Linked DNA regions of Oryzias latipes. The protein of the gene in region 1 purifies or fractionates together with the protein of each later gene. This does not show direct contact. Links are inferred from orthologs where the notes say so. Each region holds a gene or a part of one and is shown in the gene's direction. Other genes may lie near its edges.

The links.
Region 2: the proteins of sigmar1 (region 1) and npc1 purify together in Homo sapiens (affinity purification with mass spectrometry; 3 studies listed by BioGRID and IntAct, with this or other methods). This does not show direct contact. The link is inferred for Oryzias latipes from reciprocal best matches to the Homo sapiens genes SIGMAR1 and NPC1.

Annotation. Positions count from the first base shown.
Region 1 is NC_019870.2:19,566,480-19,570,795, reverse strand, and holds the start of sigmar1 (sigma non-opioid intracellular receptor 1), read left to right. Parts: upstream 1-1,513; 5' UTR 1,514-1,608; coding exon 1,609-1,753; intron 1,754-1,899; coding exon 1,900-1,951; intron 1,952-2,787; coding exon 2,788-2,936; intron 2,937-4,316. Other genes in the region: galt (galactose-1-phosphate uridylyltransferase), read right to left, coding at 1,078-1,114. UniProt on the Homo sapiens protein: Functions in lipid transport from the endoplasmic reticulum and is involved in a wide array of cellular functions probably through regulation of the biogenesis of lipid microdomains at the plasma membrane.
Region 2 is NC_019875.2:28,656,957-28,660,611, reverse strand, and holds part of npc1 (Niemann-Pick C1 protein), read left to right. Parts: intron 1-1,787; coding exon 1,788-1,917; intron 1,918-2,002; coding exon 2,003-2,188; intron 2,189-2,297; coding exon 2,298-2,529; intron 2,530-3,655. UniProt on the Homo sapiens protein: Intracellular cholesterol transporter which acts in concert with NPC2 and plays an important role in the egress of cholesterol from the endosomal/lysosomal compartment.

The DNA of each region.
Region 1 (4,316 bases):
GTGTACAACAGAAAATAAATCGGAGGTCAGTAAGCACAACCAGGATCAAGGCACCTCCGATTATAAAGCAGAATCTCTATTTTTTACAAATTAAGGAATTTTAAGTTTTGAAACTTTACATTTTAAGGCTTCAAATAAGTTAGATTTACATTTTTGATTGTCAGATCTCCTACAAATAAAAATAAATTAAACTGTTTTTTATTTTGTTTTTCACACAACTTACCAAATTGTCTGCTTTGAAATGGTGGTATGTGGTTCAGAGTCTTTTATTTTGAAAGCCAGTTATGTAAACCTCTGTCTAAAGTATTTCATAATTTGAAAAGAAGGCTGTTTTCTCTTTATGTTTGTCTTATCTATGCAAAAAGAAAAATATATATTTATACTCATCATAATAGTACCAATAACATTATTGTCAATAAAAACTCATGTCTTATTTTTCTACAAGGTGAAATAAGACTTGTGGTTCCTGCCACTGGATTATAGTGCTCAGTGAGAAATTGGCCCAAATGGCTCTTAAGTGTTGAAGGTTGCAGACCCCTGCACCACAACAACTACCTCTAAAAACAAAGCACATGGAACATAAGTTTTCATTGAGAACATGTATAATTTCATCTGTCATTTGAAATCAATTTGGTTTTAACTATTTACCATAACAGCAAAAAGTAGGTTTCGTTGTCGCACAGCAGGCACAAAAAAACTGCTGAACCAGAAAACAACATCAGCAGAAACTAAAATCACGAGACAGTTGTTGGGAGATTTTTTTTTTAAACCACATAAGCTAACAGATTAGTTTACCTGTTAATTCAGTAATCTACTAACTAACAAACAACACAAATGCCTCAATAGTTTTCATTTGGATATGCTATGGACACTATCACTTATTAACTAATTTGAATAGTAATTTGCTACGTCTGTCTTTTAAAACGACTGGATTATGAACTCGTTATTAGTTATGTTTCTGTCCTTTTCTTAAGTGTATGATCATCAGGTTTTCAAAGTAAATATCATGTGCCGCAAAACAGAATGCCTCTTTTTGTTTTGTTTTTCCAGAGTGTTGGTTTCTTTCATTTTACACACCTTTTGGGTCGAAACTCACGCCTTGTTCGCCGCTCATGATGTAAGCAGCTGAAGAAAAGTCTATAATATTCGGTGAACCTTTTCACTGATCCTGGACTCTGTATGAATGGTCTGTCTACAGCGACCCTTGTCTTACTTCCTGTTATTCGTCGGACGACCCAAAAGTGCCATTTCGAAACAATGTTAAACATCGCGAAAAAAGCTTTAAAAAATAAAGAAAGAAACAAAACAGATGTACATTGAATTACACAGACAAATATAATATCATATTGTGAGTAAATATAAATATTTTATAAATTATTCGAAGCATGTACGTGTTTTCACTTGGTTTGTACAAATGATCTTAGAGGGGGTTTTGATACTGTGCTGGCAACTTTCTGTCGCCAGTTCGCCCCACGACGAAGTCTGCCTCTGATTGGTTAAAATGACCCATTCTTGCTGTCACGTGACAAGGAAGGAGGCATTCCACTTTTCCCTTATGGAGCAAGCCTTCTCACACATGTAGCGGGATTTGCAGCTGTCTGTGCCACCATGTCTTTTATTAAAGCCATTTTTAAGTTGCTCGTGTTGGCCTCCGTCGGCGTCCTGGTTGTGTTGGTGCTTCAGAACTGGATGGCCACAAAGGACTATGTTTTTAATAGAGACGATATTGCCAAGTTGGTCAAACAGTATGCAGGCGAGTCTGACAATCAGAATGAACGACATTTCACTCGCTTAACAGTTCTAAGTAACTGTAATTGGGTTAGAAAATGATGTTGACCTTTCTGCCATTAACACTTCATGGTGTTGAATTGTGCTATTTGTGTATGCATCTTTTTTTAGGGCAGGATCATGAACACGCCTTCACCAAAGTGGTGGTGGAGCTTAGGAAAAGGTAAAAGCGACTTGTTCTTGCACAAATCTCCTTGACTGTTTGTTAGGTCAGTTCACTTTCAGTTACTCAATTGTAGATTTTTTTTTTCAATTAACTGTCGTTTTGTGGGGGGTGGGGGGGGGTTGTATGAAAATACTTTGGTTTTGAACAAAACAATTATAATTTTTTTAAGTAAGATTTTTTAAATCGTCAGAAGAAATTATTATTGTTTTTGCTAAAACTATTATGCTGTAAAGACAATTAAATCAGCAAATTTCATCGTGTTCTACTTTTTTAAAATATGTTTTTCTACATTTTTGTCAACCAGATGAAAAAGGAAAGTTTAAATAAATCAAAGATATTGATACAGATTAAATAATCTCCGTTTATAGTAATGTATCATCTTTGAATAGTCAGCTAATATTATATTACGTAAATGTAAAGCTGCAGTTAACAAACATGTTTTCATGTATAAAAAAGGATTGTCTGTAGTTAAATTTCAGTAGTTTTCTGCTGTTAAGAGTTAACGCCATGTAATGTCAAATGTACGGTGGCCCTGAAATGCCAAAACCTAAAATTTCACAACAGCAATTTAAAAAGCAAAACATACTTTGCATTTTTCTCATTTTTACAGTGATCACTTTATTTTTTATTATTTATAGTCAGTCACCTTATTTGTTTGTCTTATTCTATTTTATTCCTTTTTTTATTGTGATCATTGTGATCTTTAATATTTTTGTGTGTTGAGTGATTTGTTGATGTGATTTTCACGTGTTTTTAATTGTAACATTTATCTCAATATTCTAGCTCTTGATAGAAACTTAATCTAAGTAACCTCTTCGGTTTTCCTTAATTAGATATCCCGGCCGCATCCTGCCTGATGAAGACTTGCAGTGGATTTTTGTTAATGCAGGAGGCTGGATGGGCTCCATGTGTCTTCTTCACGCCTCTTTGACAGAATACTTGCTGCTGTTTGGCACTGCAGTGGACACAAGCGGACATTCAGGTAAACAAGCAGTAAAGCGTCAAATCAGGATCAGATTAAAGTGGATCTAAAACCAGATCGTAAACTTGATAGTTTTAAACTCCAAATTACACATTTCAAAATTGAAGGAAATATTGAAAAATTGAAAAAATAAAAGTTTAAATTAGAAACTTGAAAGAAATATTGAAATTCTGGGGGGAAATTTGAAATTTGAATTGAAAAAATTGTTCATTTTTGTAACAGCTGGCATTTTGTATTATCGTTAGTTTTTCTGTTTCTTTTGTTTTTCCCTTTGAATCGTTTTTTTAAAGTTGACATTATAAGAGAACTGGGGGGTATTCCAAGAAGCATGTTTAAACACCAATTTTGCCACCTTAAATGAATTACTTCTATTGGTAACAAGTAATTGAGTTAAATTTATTCAACCTAATTTCTTACGTCTATAAAACTCAATAATTGTTTATACAACTCAAATTTACATATTTATTTAACTAAATCTCTTATTACTCCAATTCAATTAATAATTTTTCCATCCTAATGAATTATAATTCTTGAACTCTCAAATGTTTAAGTCTGAGCTGGCAGATATACTCATTTTTATAACAAGAAAAAGAACAAAACGATACACGCCTGGAGAATACATCCATTTAGAAATTTTCCGACATTGTCATTACAGCAATAGGCAGCAGGGGTGCTATATAAACTCATCATCCTCTCCCTCCCTTTCAGTCATGGTGCAGAGTAGGACAAAATAACTCAGCAAAACACAGTAAAACAGCTAAACAACTAAACACATTTGGTCAAAAACCCACACTTGAACCCAAATCCGTCCAGACAGGCAAAGGGAATGATATCCCAGAATCCCTTGTGGTGCCGATCTAACAGCAGCAGCAAAGTTACACCTACTTAATTGAATTCATTTGAATAAAAATAAAATAACTGTCTGAAAACTACGTGTTATTTTTAAACTGACTAAACAAAAAAATGATTTTTAATTATATTAACTGAAGCAAATAATTAAGTTACATCAACAAAGTTTATCTTTCCAACATCCATACGTGGTCTTATCACCCTCTCATAGTGGAAAAAGTATTATTTGAGCTTCTTCATCCACTAAATCATCTTCAAATGGACACGCCATGCTGCTTCACCTCTCTGAAAACAAACTAAGCTTCAACTAAACCTGCTCCAGACCAGGTTGTGTTCAGAGCATGAGTTGCCATGGCAACTTGACATACCCTGAAACATACCTCCATTTCTGGAACCGAAAGCTGAGGTTATCAACTTCCTTAGCCTCAAACTTACCGTGGGAGCTAGCATAACCTGCTTCCTGGAATACCCCCCAGGACTGAGTGGGTGAGACGTCACCCATAGAAAATGCCTTACTTCCGGCTCCAACTA
Region 2 (3,655 bases), on another chromosome or scaffold:
CAGCCTTTATTTTGTCGGGACACGACTGGAAACAAATCGTTTCACGGTTTCTAAGGACTGAGCGGAATTTTGCATTAAAAAGCTCACCGCCGCCGTGTGAGATTTTCGGATAGGAAGGGGAGACAAGGAGCCCGCTTGGCGAGCGCGGAGCGCAGAGGCGTGTTTGTTTGTTTTGGAAGGAAACTTCTGACGCGCGCGCCGCGCTGAGGCACGCGCTTTTCGGTCGCCGCTGCTTTATTTTAGTTGTGTGTGTTTTTAACCAGCCCTGTTATTCCCATAACGCTGCCGCGACACAAGCGGAAGGAGAGCTGTTCCCGTTCACCCTCCATGCACTGCTGCTCCTTGCTCATTCTTAAACACGTACAACAGTGTGACGAGCCGGGCGTTGGCCCCGCCTTTAGCCCCTAAGACTCATGGGAAATGGGGGATCGCGGATGTAAATTTCCTCATCATAACTGAGGGATGTAATGTTGATTACATGGTTACTGTTTGTAATTTTATGTATGATACCTAGATTGTCAATAAGTAAAAAAAAAAAAAAAAAAAAAAACATAACTGAGAAACTTGTGAACAGAATAGAGGTCCATGCTGTTAGGCAGATGTGGGTGTATTCAAATAAATGAGCCTGAGGCAAGGCTGGCCCCTGCCACAGAGTTATTACTGAGTCACACTTATCCTAGGAATCAGGATGTGATTTGTCAGGATGATCATGCTGCCTAATACATGCGGCTTGTACTCTAATGCGGCTTGTGTATGTACAAAACTAGTTAAACACGTTAAAATGGGTGGGTGCGGCTTGTAATCGGGTGCGCTGTATAGTCCGGAATTTACGGTATATATCTATAGATGGAGATATATCTAGAGATAGATAGATATATATATATATAGATATAGATATAGAGATATAGATATTAATTAGGGATGTGTGATATTTGTAACCAATATTAAAATAACCAAATGACTTGCTGTATATGAGCAAATGGCAAAAAACAAAAACACTGACACATCATTTCGATTTCCCTGCAGCAGTTTTATTTAGATTAGATTTGATTTGATTTGCTTTGTTATTGTCTGTTGTACAATGAAATTGAAGCATCGCCATTTCAGTGCAAGAATAGCAAGGAATAACTATATGTAATATTAAATAATCAGTATATACAAGTGGACAAATATAAACTGTAATAAAGAATGTCTGAAATTTGTGTGCAAAATTGTGAAACTGAAAATGCACACAATTTGTGTGCATTTTATGTTTACTTTTTTAAACAAAAGTAAGCATAAAATGTTCTCCATATGAACCTCATCTACATAAGATTCAGGCATCTAACATAGAAGGACCCCGTCTGATTGGTCAAATATGAAAAATTAGAAAAATATTTGATTCATTAGATACTTGAAGCTGCCATGAGATTGTATTACTGTGTGTAAATATTTAAGGTAATCCTTTATCGCCGTGTTTTGGGAAATGCGTAGCGCACAGGCTTGATGTAGCGATAACATTTGTGATTGATCCAAATAGGAACTTTATGGATTCAGACAGTAGCAGGTTGTACGATGGACTGAGTTTTACGATGGACTAGTGCTTTTGTCTTTGTTACTGGGTATTTTTATTTGTTACAGTTTGTTTAAATGATCAGCACTCTGACTGGTTAAGTATAAATAACCCTAAATAGAAGTTGAAAACCAGATAAGGGTTACAATGCAAAAAAACAACCAAGTAATGTTTTTTCTTAGTGTCAACTAAAACCTGCTATTTGATGTTATTTCTATACATTGTATTTCTCCAGTGATAAACCCGTCCTGCGTGTCTTGTCGACCCATGACTCCTGCTGGGAAGGAGAGGCCCGTAGGAGAAGAGTTCATGCGGTTTTTACCCATGTTCTTGTCTGACAATCCAAACCCCAAGTGTGGAAAAGGGTAATGGATCCTCCCTGAAAACACAAACGCGTTCTGTGATCCTCGCCGGTTCTTGCTGTAATGTTTTTCATGCGTGCCTCTGCAGTGGTCATGCAGCTTATGCCACAGCAGTGGACCTGAAACCCAACGACGGCGGCGTGGGAGCCACGTACTTCATGACCTACCACACCATCCTGAAGGACTCTCCAGACTTCATCAATGCCCTGAAAATGGGTCGAGTCCTGGCAGAAAACATCAGTCAGTCCATCAACCACAAGGCTTTTGCCTACAGGTTAGTTTGGTTGGATTGAATGAAATGAATTCCATTTCCCCGTCGGCATAGCAGGTTTTGCTCACTAAGCTGCTAATCGTTTTTCCTTATTCCCGTTTTCCCTTTGCAGCGTCTTCTACGTGTTCTACGAGCAGTACCTCACCATCGCCTACGACACGGCGCTGAACCTCGGCGTGTCGCTGGCCGCCATATTCGTGGTGACCACGGTGCTGTTGGGCTTCGAGGTGTGGTCCGCTCTGATGGTCAGCATCACGATCGCCATGATCCTGGTGAACATGTTCGGGGTCATGTGGCTCTGGGACATCAGCCTCAACGCAGTGTCTCTGGTGAACTTGGTGATGGTAAGGAAACGGCGGGATGGACGGGGATCGCCGTGAGTCTGAGTTAGAATGAGAGTTTCAGTTTTTGGGGTTCGGTCTTGTCCGTTAGGATGATTCACCTGTTGAAATGGAACTAGGCCGTGTCTCACTGATGCAGTAAATGTGTGCTGCTGCCTCCTCTGTAGACTTGGCCTCCATCTTCTCTGCTCCAAGACTACCTTTGGTTCACTTTAAATTTACATAAATTGGTTGTTAAACTGTCAGCAATGTTAAACACTTTTAAAAAGGAGTTTTAAAAGTACTAAAATGGCACTCAGTCACACCTGCCCTAACAGGTGGATAAGAGCTGTCTGCAGGTGAAAAATGGGCATTCAGATGTTGGGTAAATTACTCTAAAAAGTAATTGATTACCTTTCTTAGTTACTGGATTAGAATTGTAATTAAATGATTCTACTTATTACCTATTGGAAAAAGTAATTCACCACTCATTACTTTACATTTCTTCCTCTCATATTCAGTTTCTCAAAGGGGAAAACAGCACAAACTAGACCCTCTTGTATTTCTTTTAACTTTATTTTTACACCAATGACCTTGTGCAAAGAATGAACCTGGTTCAAGACACAACCTGGTTTTATTATAGTTTACAGACGTTGCAACACATGTGGAGAAAAAATGTCATGTTTTCATGTTTTACGCTGTGCAGCTTAGAGAGAAAATAAAGTAAGAGAATGAATTAATAAATCTGTGCGTGCAGGCTTGCACGTACAGTAACTTTGTTCTTTTTATTACTTTTGTTTTGTTTCATTTAACCGAGACATTTTTACCCAAGTACTGCAGTAACGAGGGTTTCCATAGTCCAGTAATTAAATTTTTTATCTAAATTCGAACTGTATGTCGTTACGTTCCTCCGTTACTGACAAATGTACCGTAATTTCCGGACTACAAGCCGCTACTTTTTTCCTGCGCTTACAGCCCTGCGGCTTATTCAGTGACGCGGCTAATTTATGGATTTAATTAGCGGCCGCCATGTACGTACTTTCGAACTCAGTGAATAGTTTGTATTCTTTATCTAACACCAAGCACAAGACATTTATATTCAACACACCTCTAAGCAGCCAAACAGCATGGACTTGACTTCAGGTCTTAG